Schizosaccharomyces pombe: one gene and its partner. The gene in region 1 interacts genetically with each later gene. Each region holds a gene or a part of one and is shown in the gene's direction. Other genes may lie near its edges.

Region 1 (4,148 bases):
TGCTTTCTTTTTGCTACTTCAGAATTTCTTGTTCTGAACTTTCTTATCTATTAAATTGAGTTATTTTTATTCATGGTCCACAACAAAGTTGTTGCTAGCGATTTAAGCTAACTAAGCATACTGCATTATTCGTCTTGTTTTATAGGTAATAATAGCATTTCCTCGTATTGTGAAATCTTCGTGAGTTACTAGGTTAAGCTTTAAATGTAAAAACACTTTCCAACAAGCTAAGCGCATAGTTCGAAGATTGTTCAACGTACAATGTTAATTTCTTATATTTTTGTACATATGTATTCAAACAACTTATGATTTGTTGAAAGGTAGGCGAGTTTTAGTTTCTTGGTTGAAAGAGTATATCTGAATCTATATTTGCAGAAGAAAAGAAGAAAACATTTGTGATTCGATCATATTTCCTTAATAAAATCCTGTCACCATAGGTCGCATCTTCTCAAAATACGATATCATCTAATCGAGGCTGTCTCTGCCATTACTTGTTTCATACTTGGTGTCAGGATATTAAACTCCCACGAGCTTCTTAAGCCCAACAACAACAGCACACAGCTTGTTAAAGGTAGGTTTTCAAAATGAGTATAACTTTATCTTCAAGGGGCAGAAAAATCCGAAAATTACCTAAGAGTTTGGAATTCCCTCTGGATGGGTCAATCGATAAACTCCGGGACGAAGTGTCCTCAGTAACACGGCTACCAGTTGAGCGTTTACGCTTCAGCACAGCCGATGGAACTACTCTTTTACCCAATACCACATTGAGGAAGTATGGTGTCGGCCCGGGTGCCACTATTTGGGTTAAAGACCTGGGTCCCCAAATTGGTTGGCGTACTGTTTTCATGATTGAGTATTTGGGTCCTCTTGTTATTCATCTATTTTTTATTCTAAATTACAAATGGATTTATAGAAAAGACTACAACTTGTGCCTTAATCAAAAAATAGCATTTGTGCTTGTCATGTTGCATTTTATGAAACGCGAGTATGAAAGTATCTTTGTTCATCGCTTTTCACTTGCAACAATGCCCTTACGAAACATATTTAAGAATTGTGCACATTATCATCTTCTTTCGGGACTCTTTTTAGCTTATTTCATATATGGTCCTTGGCATGCTAACGATTACATAAAGCCTAATCATCTGTTGTTTTTAATCGTTGGCTGGGCGTTCGCTGTCCTTTCCAATTTTAGAACTCATATTATTTTACGCGATTTACGACCCGCCGGCTCCAAGAAGCGTGTTATCCCAACCGGTTATGGATTCAACTTGGTATCATTTCCCAATTACTTCTTTGAGTCTCTTGGCTGGCTTTTTTTCGCACTCTTAACGAAATCTTGGGCTTCTTGGATCTTCTTATTTGTTGGTTCCGCACAAATGTTTGTTTGGGCTAAGAAAAAGCATGCTCGCTATCTGAAAGAGTTTCCCAATTATCCCCGTTCTCGTAAAATTATGATTCCCTTCTTTTTATAATCTATAAATTTAGAACCAATCGATTTTCACTCTTGATCGATCAGTTTAAAGATGTTGATCAATTTTTAACTACACGGATATGCTACTTCTGTTGTTCTTGATTTGGTTCTACGGTTTTCAATAGTCATTGTTCTACATTTTACAAGATTCTTTTCCTAAGAATGTTAAAGATATACATTTCATAGATATAAATAAACATAAAGAACTCCAATAGCTCTAGACAATTGTTGAGCACCGCCATCTGAACCACCATTGTATATGATTGGAAAGTCAAATTTAAAGTCTATCACAATCAGATAAATAACTAGTTATTCATTTGAAATATAGTGTATATATATATTTATAGATATATATAATTACGTGTATCGCTAATTCATTTGTCAGTATTGTTATGTCCAGTCATTCCATAAGCAAACTTGCATTTGTTTACATTTTAATAGTCAGTATATAAAGGCATCTATAACTCTTTGGCATTTACACCAACCTTTGTCGACATTAGACTAAAGAGTCTAAAGGGACAAGTTATCAAATCTACCTGCATAACTTAATTTTTTTTTGTATAGCGGCAGTCATCGGCTAGACCTTTGAAAGCGGACAGCTTGCATTTCCACTAACCAACTTAAATATCACTTAATGGCGTCGTTAACAACAGCTTTACCGAATAAAGCCGTTGTAGCCCATTTTATGATGGGTCTTACGTACAATTATGCTCAGAGTGATTTCCAAAATGACATACAAAATGCAATTTCTTTGGGGTTGGATGGGTTTGTGCTCAACTTTGGGAATGACAGTTGGATGATGAGCAAACTGACTTTGATGTACAATGCTGCTGATGCATTAAATCTTCAGTTTTTGCTTTACCTCAATCTAGATATGTCTGAAATGTCAACGGTTCCCGCTAGCACTCTTGTGACCTATGTTCAAACTTTTGCTAATCGTGGCCATCAGGCTCGGATTAATAACAATGTAGTCGTGGGCACATTTCTTGGGCAGGATATTAATTTTGGTCAGTCTTCAGTAAACCAAGGTTGGCAGGTAGCATTCAAAAACGCGTTGGCTTCTGCTGGTATCAATATTTTTTTCATGCCCACTTGGCCTCTCGATGCTAGTACTATTTATCAGACATATCCAGTTGCCGATGGATTCTGCAAATGGAATTGCTGGCCTTATTACACAAGTTCCCCTACTAGCGATGCTGAAGACTTAGTTTACATACAAAATAGTAAAGCCACAAACAAAAAATATATGGCTACTGTCAGTCCAATATTTTATACACACTTTACTTCCAAAAATTATTCTTTCTTTTCAGAAGGTTTATGGTTTACCAGGTGGATGCAACTTATTAAAGACCAACCAAACTATGTTCAAGTTTTAACTTGGAATGACTATGGAGAAAGCACATATATTGGTCCCACTAATTATGCTGCTGACTTTCCGGTCATAGGATCAAACTCTCATGAGTGGGTTGATTCGTTTACGCATGCACCTTTATCTTATTCACTTCCCCTTTTCATTCAAATGTATAAACAAAATACTACAGGTCTTCCATCTAACTTCAGCGGAATATCGCAATTATACGTTACATACCGGGTGCATTCAAAAAATGCGACAGCATCGTCAGACTCAATTCCTCGACCTGATAACTACCAGAACAGTTCTGACGTTATTAGTGTTATATCCTTTGCAAAGTCATCGTATACTTTGCGCGTTAGCGTTAATGGCACCGTACTAGGTACCACCAATGTCAATGCAGGTGTTCAGTCAGCTAATGTTAGTTTCATTGTTAACAACACAGCTGCTGCAGGTCTTCCACTCTTTCAAATTTTAAATGGAACGACAGTTATCGCTCAGGGGTATGGTCCATTAAATATTCTTGGTAACAATTCTGTTGTGCTATACAACTTCAACTTCTGCACCACTAGGATATCCTGGTAATTCCATAAACTAAAAGTGGAGATCAAAATTAGTCAATCCTGATGGTATGACTGAAGTTTACATTACTTTTTGGTGGCAGGTAGCTTTGATAACTTTTTAATACAAATATTTTTGTTGGTGTCAACAATTGTAGTTGATGTAGATTAATTTTATTTTATTTTTTTCAATTGTGCAAACACAAAGAGTACTCTACTAAAATAAACCTGAAAGTTCGATACCGCTTGACACTTGGGCTGCTGATCAACTGACCGTAACAAACTCCAACGAAGTGGTATCAATATCTCAAGCACGTCTTCACTTAGCCTTCCAACTACACCATTTAATCTGCGTTTTATATAATGAGTTTAGCTAACCGCATTGAAGAAATCCGGTGCCTTTGTCAGTACAAGCTTTGGAATGACCTTCCTTCTTATGGAGAAGACGAAAATGTGCCTCAAAACATCCGCCGTTGTTACCAATTACTCGATATGACCTCGAGATCCTTTGCAGTCGTTATTAAAGAATTGCCAAATGGTATTAGAGAGGCTGTTATGATTTTTTATCTTGTCCTTCGTGGACTGGATACAGTAGAGGATGACATGACGTTGCCTTTGGATAAAAAGCTTCCAATCCTAAGAGATTTTTATAAAACAATTGAAGTCGAAGGGTGGACGTTTAATGAATCTGGTCCTAACGAAAAGGATCGTCAGCTTCTCGTAGAATTCGACGTGGTTATAAAAGAATATCTTAACCTGTCAGAGG
Region 2 (7,484 bases), on another chromosome or scaffold:
TTGGCGAAAACTGCTTCCTTCTTGAGCGTATTGAGTGATGGTGGATACGAAGACGATGTGATGAATGTCAAGCCTTCAGTAAACGTATTGTCTAATAGGTTAAATCATTTACCAGTTGAAGCATTGGAATCTTGCTTTCCACAAACCACTTTGGAGTCCTCCACGTTTGCTGATTTTTGTGAGCACAAAGATGGAACCGGTAACTTGTCTTTTAGCAACTTTGATAGCTTTCCCACAGTCCAAAGGTCAAGATATGCAAGTGATTTTGAAGAACTTGAGTTACTTGGTAAAGGCGGTTATGGTTCAGTGTATAAAGCTCGAAATAAATTCGATGGAGTTGAATATGCTTTAAAAAAAATTCCACTTCGGTTACGTTCTTTCTCCACTTCTTCTAACATATTCCGTGAATCTAGGACCTTGGCAAGATTAAACCATCCCAATGTGATAAGATTCTTTTCTAGTTGGGTCGAGCTCTTACCGTCATCTGAAAAGCAAATCGAAGAAGAACCTTTAGCTTCGGCAGATGAGACATTATCTCAATCAGCAGATATAGATAATTTTATGTTTGATATGGATACTGGGTTACTTCAGCATACTTATCCTTCATCAGTTCAGATACTATTCCAAGAGGACTCGGTTGCAGATGATTTAACTCCTTGTTACTCTACCAAAAATTCGACTTGCAACTTGACTGATCTTTTCAAGAAAGAGGCCGATCAGGATTATGCCGAGTCACATGATTGTTCTTCAACAACATCACAAGTCGACACATTAGGAAAGTTGGCGCCAACGAAGTCAGCTTCTGAAATGTTACTTATGGATTCATTTCTATCCGAAAGAGAGGAAGATGAATGTTCCAATATTCCCAGCTTTGATCAACAGCCCTTATGTTTGTACATACAAATGGCTCTTTGCGAAGAAACACTCGAGAAACACATAAACAGACGAAATAAGCATATTCACGGTGTAATGTCTAAAGGCCTACGTAACTGTTATATTTTACTGTTTGCAAGGATTTTAGAGGGCGTTTTGTATCTTCACGATGCTATGCATTTAGTCCATCGTGATTTGAAACCTCGAAATATTTTTCTATCTAGTGGTGTACATTCTGAGCCTTGCTCTGTGTGTCTACCTAATTTTTCTGATGAAGATAATGTTGAGGTTAGCAATGCGTACGAACCAGTGAACCAAAGAACTTTATGTGTTGTGCCCAAGATAGGCGATTTCGGTCTTGTTCTTTCTCAGTCAGATAATTTGGAAGAGGGGACCAACTCCTCAGCTGAATCTTCTTTTGTCGGTACAAGTACGTATGCAGCTCCTGAACTTTTCTCAAAACACATGCGATCGGTAATGAATAACAACTCGTCTACTGACATATATGCATTGGGCATACTCTTTTTTGAATTACTGTATCCTTTTAACACGCGCATGGAAAGGGCATCAGCTATCGCCAATTTAAAAAAGGGCATTTTCCCCCATGATTTCTTGGATTCCATGCCAGAGGAAGCTAGCTTAATCCGGTCAATGCTCAGCTCTTCGAATAAGCGCCCAACTGCTGCTCAACTTTTGACTAGCAATCTATTTCATGATTTGGTAGTCAATGAGCTTCATGTATATCAAGCTTTATTGGAAGATGCTGAGAAACGAAATAACAATTTGAAAGCAGAACTAAACATACTTCGAGTTTTAAACCCCAATTACGACTGTTAGTATTAGTTACGAACTACTTTGGACTGCTTCAATTGTTTTTACAATTCGCTTTTGACAAGATTTAGTTGTTTATGTTATTTTATGTTTATATTTCCTACGTTTTATGTTTATCCACTGTTATGATTTGTTTATAGTGAGTTATCTTCCATGCTCTTGGAATGGTTTTTGGAGCTTTTAGGTGCGAAAGAGTAGTCTGCATTAAAGATTTTTCTTATTTTAATATATTAAATTGAAAGTTCATCTTGTACATTTTTTCGTTGCTAGTTTTCAGTTCAACAGTCTGATTGATTTTTTTAAGTTTTCTTGATCTTGATCTTGTACTCAAAATGTTTATCCTTTTTAATCAAACTGTCTTTCATTTATGGAAAACAAATATCAATCAAGCTATAAATTAAACAGCAGAAGCGATTGTTTAATTTTAGCGTGATAGTAAACTAGCACTTCATTAGGCGCCTTATTCTAAAGACACAGTATGTACGCCACCCTCTCAATGTCTTTTAAAAAACATTTATTAATAAATATAAACTAGAATGGACACTAAACTTATTTCCAGCATTATTCAGTTAATTCTGATATGGACTACTTTCAAGTTGTCGCTTTCCAATTACGTTTGTGTTTGAGCTTGAACTTATCGGAAAACTAAATAGTTTTCGAACACAGTTAGTATTTCTTTGTTCTTTAACGGGTACAATAAAATGGATCGTTGCATATGTAATTGTTGCTTTGAATCATATTACGTCGGTTAAACCGAACAAAGAAAGTTATGTTCTAAATACTCAGTAATTTTCTAGTAAGTCTTTTACCTTACTTCTTATATCTGAACTCAAAAAGGATTGTTTACGAGCAAAAAACCTTGTTTCTGTAATTATAGGACATATTATTGATGGTTTCACCTTTTTTAGCTATTGCTTGTTAATGATGACGGCTAGTTTTAAAGGTATCAGAATCTCTAAACCAATTGTTAAAGAAATTTCATCGTTTGGGTCTCTAACAAACATTGATTTACACACTGACCCATATGAAAAAGTCGAAGCAAAAGCATTATCGCGAAGCAGATTAAAAAACCAAAGCGTAAAGAAAACAGACCTTCGTATTACAAATGATTACTCTTCACTATTTGTGAGTATTGAAAACAAAAAAAACACTATTCCGGATATTCATTGCAACAATTTATCAAAAAGACCTGTTGGATTTACCGATTCATATGTACCAGGCGAAGCGCTTCTATGTCCGGATGACCCGAATTTAGTGAATGAATTATTCGATGATGTTTTAAAAAGATTACGCGAAGAAAAATCTGATTCTGGTGAGCAGTTTCATTGGGACGCGAACGTTACACTCTCTCAAGAAAACAAATGGTCTTTCATCACTGGCTATTTATCGAGAAACGATAAATTTTTAAAAATATCATCAAACGATTCTGAACTAAATGTCAAGGCATCCGTCATTTCCTATATTGAAAAGTTAAGCTGTACACCGTTGAAGCTCAAGTACGTGGAATCTTTGGCGGTTGCATTGAGAACCGAATCAGTTACCTGGGTTCGATATTTTCTTTTGATGGGTGGACACATAGTACTTGCTAAAATATTGCAGGCAATTCATGAGAAGAAACATCTAAAAAGTCCTGACATAACTTTAGAAATTGCAATCCTCAAAAGCATGAGGTGTATTATAGGACAGAAGATTGGGACTGATTTCTATCTGAGTAATAAGTATCCTATCGATTCAGTTGTTCACTGCCTCCTGTCAACTAAATTACTAGTAAGGAAACTAGCTGCCGAATTACTTACTTTTCTTTGTTACTCAGAAAAGCCGAACGGAATCAACGCAATTATGAAATGTATGAAAAACTTTGCAAATTTGAAAGTCGAGTCTATGAACGTCTTTGATTTATGGCTTTCTCAATGGAAAAGAACACTCTTAGAGAAAGTTGTTACTGAAGAAAAGAAAGTACTAGAAGAAGCGGCCTTACATGATAAAATAACTATTGAGTATATCATTTCACAAATGCTTCTTATAAATGCATTTCTTGAAAATATCCCATCTAAAACTGCTTTACTCCAGTTCAAGGAATCCTTGAGAATAGGGAATTTCAAAAGCATTTTACTCATTCTAAAAAAAATAAATGATGAAGGAGTATTAAAACAACTCGAGAAATGCGTGAAACTCGTATCATTAGACACTGCTAATGAGAAACATTTTTTAAAGCACACTCCAAATTCTGCTGCTCATCAATCCCTTTTAAACACAAACATGTTTAATGATGCAAATTTCGAATTTATGGTTAAAGAGCATATTAAAAATTTTTTAAAACTTTTGAAAGAGCACAACAACCCCGTCCGTATTATAAAGTTACTTGATTGTTTAGTGCTTACTTTACAAGCTGATAAAGGGAATGGTAATTCAAATAATGATATTGATTGCTTTTATAAGGAATTAAAGATTGGAAACGAGCAAGGGAACAACGCTCCGGGGTACTCAAGTGTTACGTCTGGCTACGGTACTACCAATAGCAAAAAAGTTGTCGCATCATATGATAATACTGATGATAATGAATACAGCGTCTCCAAATCAGAACTTTATGCTACTGGTGATACTAATAACACTACAAATCAAGGATATGAGAATTCCGAAAGAAAGTATGTGGAAAGTTCGAAGTATGAAACCGATCTGAAAAATATCTTTGATTGTTTGTGTTTGTTGTTTCCATCAGAGTTTGATCCTCAATCTTCCTTTTCAGCCGAAAAAATTTTTAGTAAACTAAAGCACTTACTGACGCGTACGCGCGATTCATACATTTCCGAAGATACCAAAATTCTTCGATTATTGAACCGATCAAGTAGTAAACTGCAAGATCGTGACCAAGAGTATTTAATTTCTAAAAACAATGTGAATGGAAATGGAAACAGAGATTGGGTTCAACCCGTGAACACTACCTCTAGCGTTAGTGCTTTTGCTTCACCAAGGATAAAACCTAAACTGCTTTTTCAACCAAATCAGGATGAAAAATTAAAACTTTGCAAATTAGATCTAGCTAAAGCAAACTCAATCACTTTAAAATCCGAGCCATCTTCCGCTGTTTCAACGCATTCTTTTGAGGTTCATCTGAGTATGCCAGGAACACAAATAAAAAGTGCTAACTTAGCAGAAAAAATGGAAACTTCAAAACACAAGGTTTTTAATCCAAAAAGGATTGATGTTGTTAGTGATCTTCCCTTAGACTATCGAAAGTCGTACTATGGCCGATTTTCCATAACTGATACCAAGAGGTTTTCTAAAATAGAAAATATGAGAATCAAAGAAGTTATTGATGGGAATCCATTCAAAGCTCCACCTCCTGCACCATTACCACCTCCTGCACCTCCTTTACCAACTGCAATGTCTTCTCTCCAGAAATTTGAAAAAAATGATTCACAAATTTTTCGGAAGACGATAATTATTCCCGAAAATATTTCAATCGATGACATATTTAAATTCTGTTCAGGTTCAGAGTCTGAAGTGTATGCAAGCAAAATTCCTGGTGAGCTATGCAATCCTTCTAAACGGCTAAAGCAGCTTCATTGGAAACGCCTCGAAGTTCCTTTCGAAAAAACTCTATGGAATATTGTAGTTGCAGATCCTTATTTATTAACTTTAAAACTTACTGCGGAAGGGATTTTTAAGCAACTCGAAGATTGTTATCCATTGAGAGAAGTAACAGTTTCCAATAAAAAAGTTAAGGAATATACCGGATTTATGCCAGTTGATTTACAGCAAATGGTTAGTATTCGTTTGCATAGATTCAATTCCTTGACACCAATTGAAATTGCCAAAAAATTTTTTCATTGCGACCATGATATCATGGAACTAGTCGATTTTTTTAATGACCGAAAGTTTTTTCGACAAGAAGGTCTTAAAAAGCAACTAAAGCCTTATATGTCATCTCGAAACGAAGAGGTAATGGAAGTAAGTGAAAAGCTTTTAGAATTGTCTCGTTTCGATCAAATTTATACGTTAATTGTTGTTGACATTGATACTTATTACGAAAAAAGAATGGCAGCTTTAAAAATCAAATCGTTTCTGGCCAACAACTTTAGGGATTTTAGAAGACAAATAAGGAAACTTCATTGTGCTTCTTTAGAGTTGAAATCTAGTTTGCATTTCAAGTATTTTTTAAATTTGGTCCTTCATATTGGCAATTTTATGAATGATGCACCCCGTCGAGCTAAAGGGTATCGATTGGAAAGTTTACTAAGAGCTTCCATGATTAAAAATGACAAAACAGGATTAACACTTCTTCATACTATTGAAAAAATAGTTCGGACTCACTTTCCACAATTGGAAGCTTTTCTCGTGGATTTGAAAGCCATTCCCGAGATTTCCAGATTTAATTTGGAGCAGTTGGAGCAGGATTGTAATGATATTTGTGAACGGATGAAAAATGTTGAAAAGGACTTTAGCAATGAAGGCATTTTTTCGAATCATAAAGCTCTTCATCCTGATGACCATATCTGTGAAGTCATGGTTCCATGGATTCCATCAGGAAAATCAATGGTGGATGAACTTAATTCTGATATTACTGAACTAAAAACAACCCTTAAAACAACTCTCTTAATGTATGGTGAAAATCCAGATGAACCTACATCGAGTGCTAGGTTTTTCAATAATTTAAACGAAATAATACTGGAGTACAAAAAGGCTAGCACTGTAAATCAGAAGATGGAGAAGGAAGAAGAACTTGCTTTTCTAAGACTACAAGCTTTAAAAGCATCTGTTAAAAGCAATAATGCAGAAAATAGTGGTTCTTCAAAGAATGAGGAAGTTTCAGCAACAATGGAAAATTTAATATCTCAGCTACAGAAAGGTTTGTGTGATGATTCTTTAAGCAACAAAACCGATTGCACTGAATCATCGAAACAAACAATCGAAACTCTAATGAATTATGAAAATGATAAACAAACTCTAGAAGGCTCAAATAAAAAGAGACAAACAGTCGTCCTTAAAGCTGAATGCATGCTTAAGCAGCTGGAGAATAACAATGAACTTAAGAGATAATGATGTTTGAAATGTTAATGACTTTTAATGACAATTAAATGACTTAAACAAATTATAATGAAATTATAATTAATAAAAGGTATAATTATTAATTCTAGTAAGACTGTAATGCTTGTTAAAGATAGAATTAAGCATCTAAAGGATAACTTTTCTAGTAATCTATTTTGCTCGGGAAATCTTAAAGTAATCAGTAAATACATCAGTTCCAACTTTTAATGATTCTTGAACGTCGTCCCAGGTACTACGCTTTTCCTCTTCTCGAGTTCCCCTATTTTTTTTGTCTTCTTTGAGCCATTCCAAACATGTCTCTAGAAGGGCGCTATTTCCCGTAGAGGACCTTGTCATCAGAGCACCAAACTTGGATATTGGTCCATAATCCACGATACGCCCAAGACTGAGATGGACCAAGTGAGTTGGCCACTCAGCTAAACCATCAAATATATGTGTTGCATAAACAATAGTAGCATTCCTTACTTCCGTTTCCTCTTGCAAAAAATTTAACAAATCTGCCCGGGCAAGAACATCCAAATCTACAGTTACTTCATCAAGTAAAAGTACTTCAAATGGACGCAGAAGTCCCATACATAGTTGAACACGTCGTCTTTCACCATCGGACACTGCATGCATTCGCCAACGAAGATCTATATCAAGAATTGAAATCAAGAAATCCCTACGTTCGGCAAATTTATCTCCTCCAACAGAAGCAATTAATCGTGCAACACTCATATCCCTATGTATAA

Evidence for each region.
Region 2: of agn2 (region 1) and fus1, changing one enhances a phenotype caused by changing the other (phenotypic enhancement), as found in Schizosaccharomyces pombe (one study listed by BioGRID).

What each region holds. Positions count from the first base shown.
Region 1 is NC_003423.3:932,040-936,187, reverse strand, and holds agn2 (glucan endo-1,3-alpha-glucosidase Agn2), read left to right. Parts: upstream 1-2,084; 5' UTR 2,085-2,105; coding exon 2,106-3,407; 3' UTR 3,408-3,534; downstream 3,535-4,148. Other genes in the region: tsc13 (enoyl reductase), read left to right, coding at 585-1,472; squalene synthase Erg9, read left to right, coding at 3,746-4,148.
Region 2 is NC_003424.3:4,812,485-4,819,968, reverse strand, and holds fus1 (formin Fus1), read left to right. Parts: upstream 1-2,182; 5' UTR 2,183-2,625; coding exon 2,626-6,744; 3' UTR 6,745-6,858; downstream 6,859-7,484. Other genes in the region: eIF2 alpha kinase Hri1, read left to right, coding at 1-1,710; CCR4-Not complex subunit Caf16, read right to left, coding at 6,904-7,484. UniProt on the Schizosaccharomyces pombe protein: Required for cell fusion. It associates with the pre-zygotic projection tips in conjugating cells.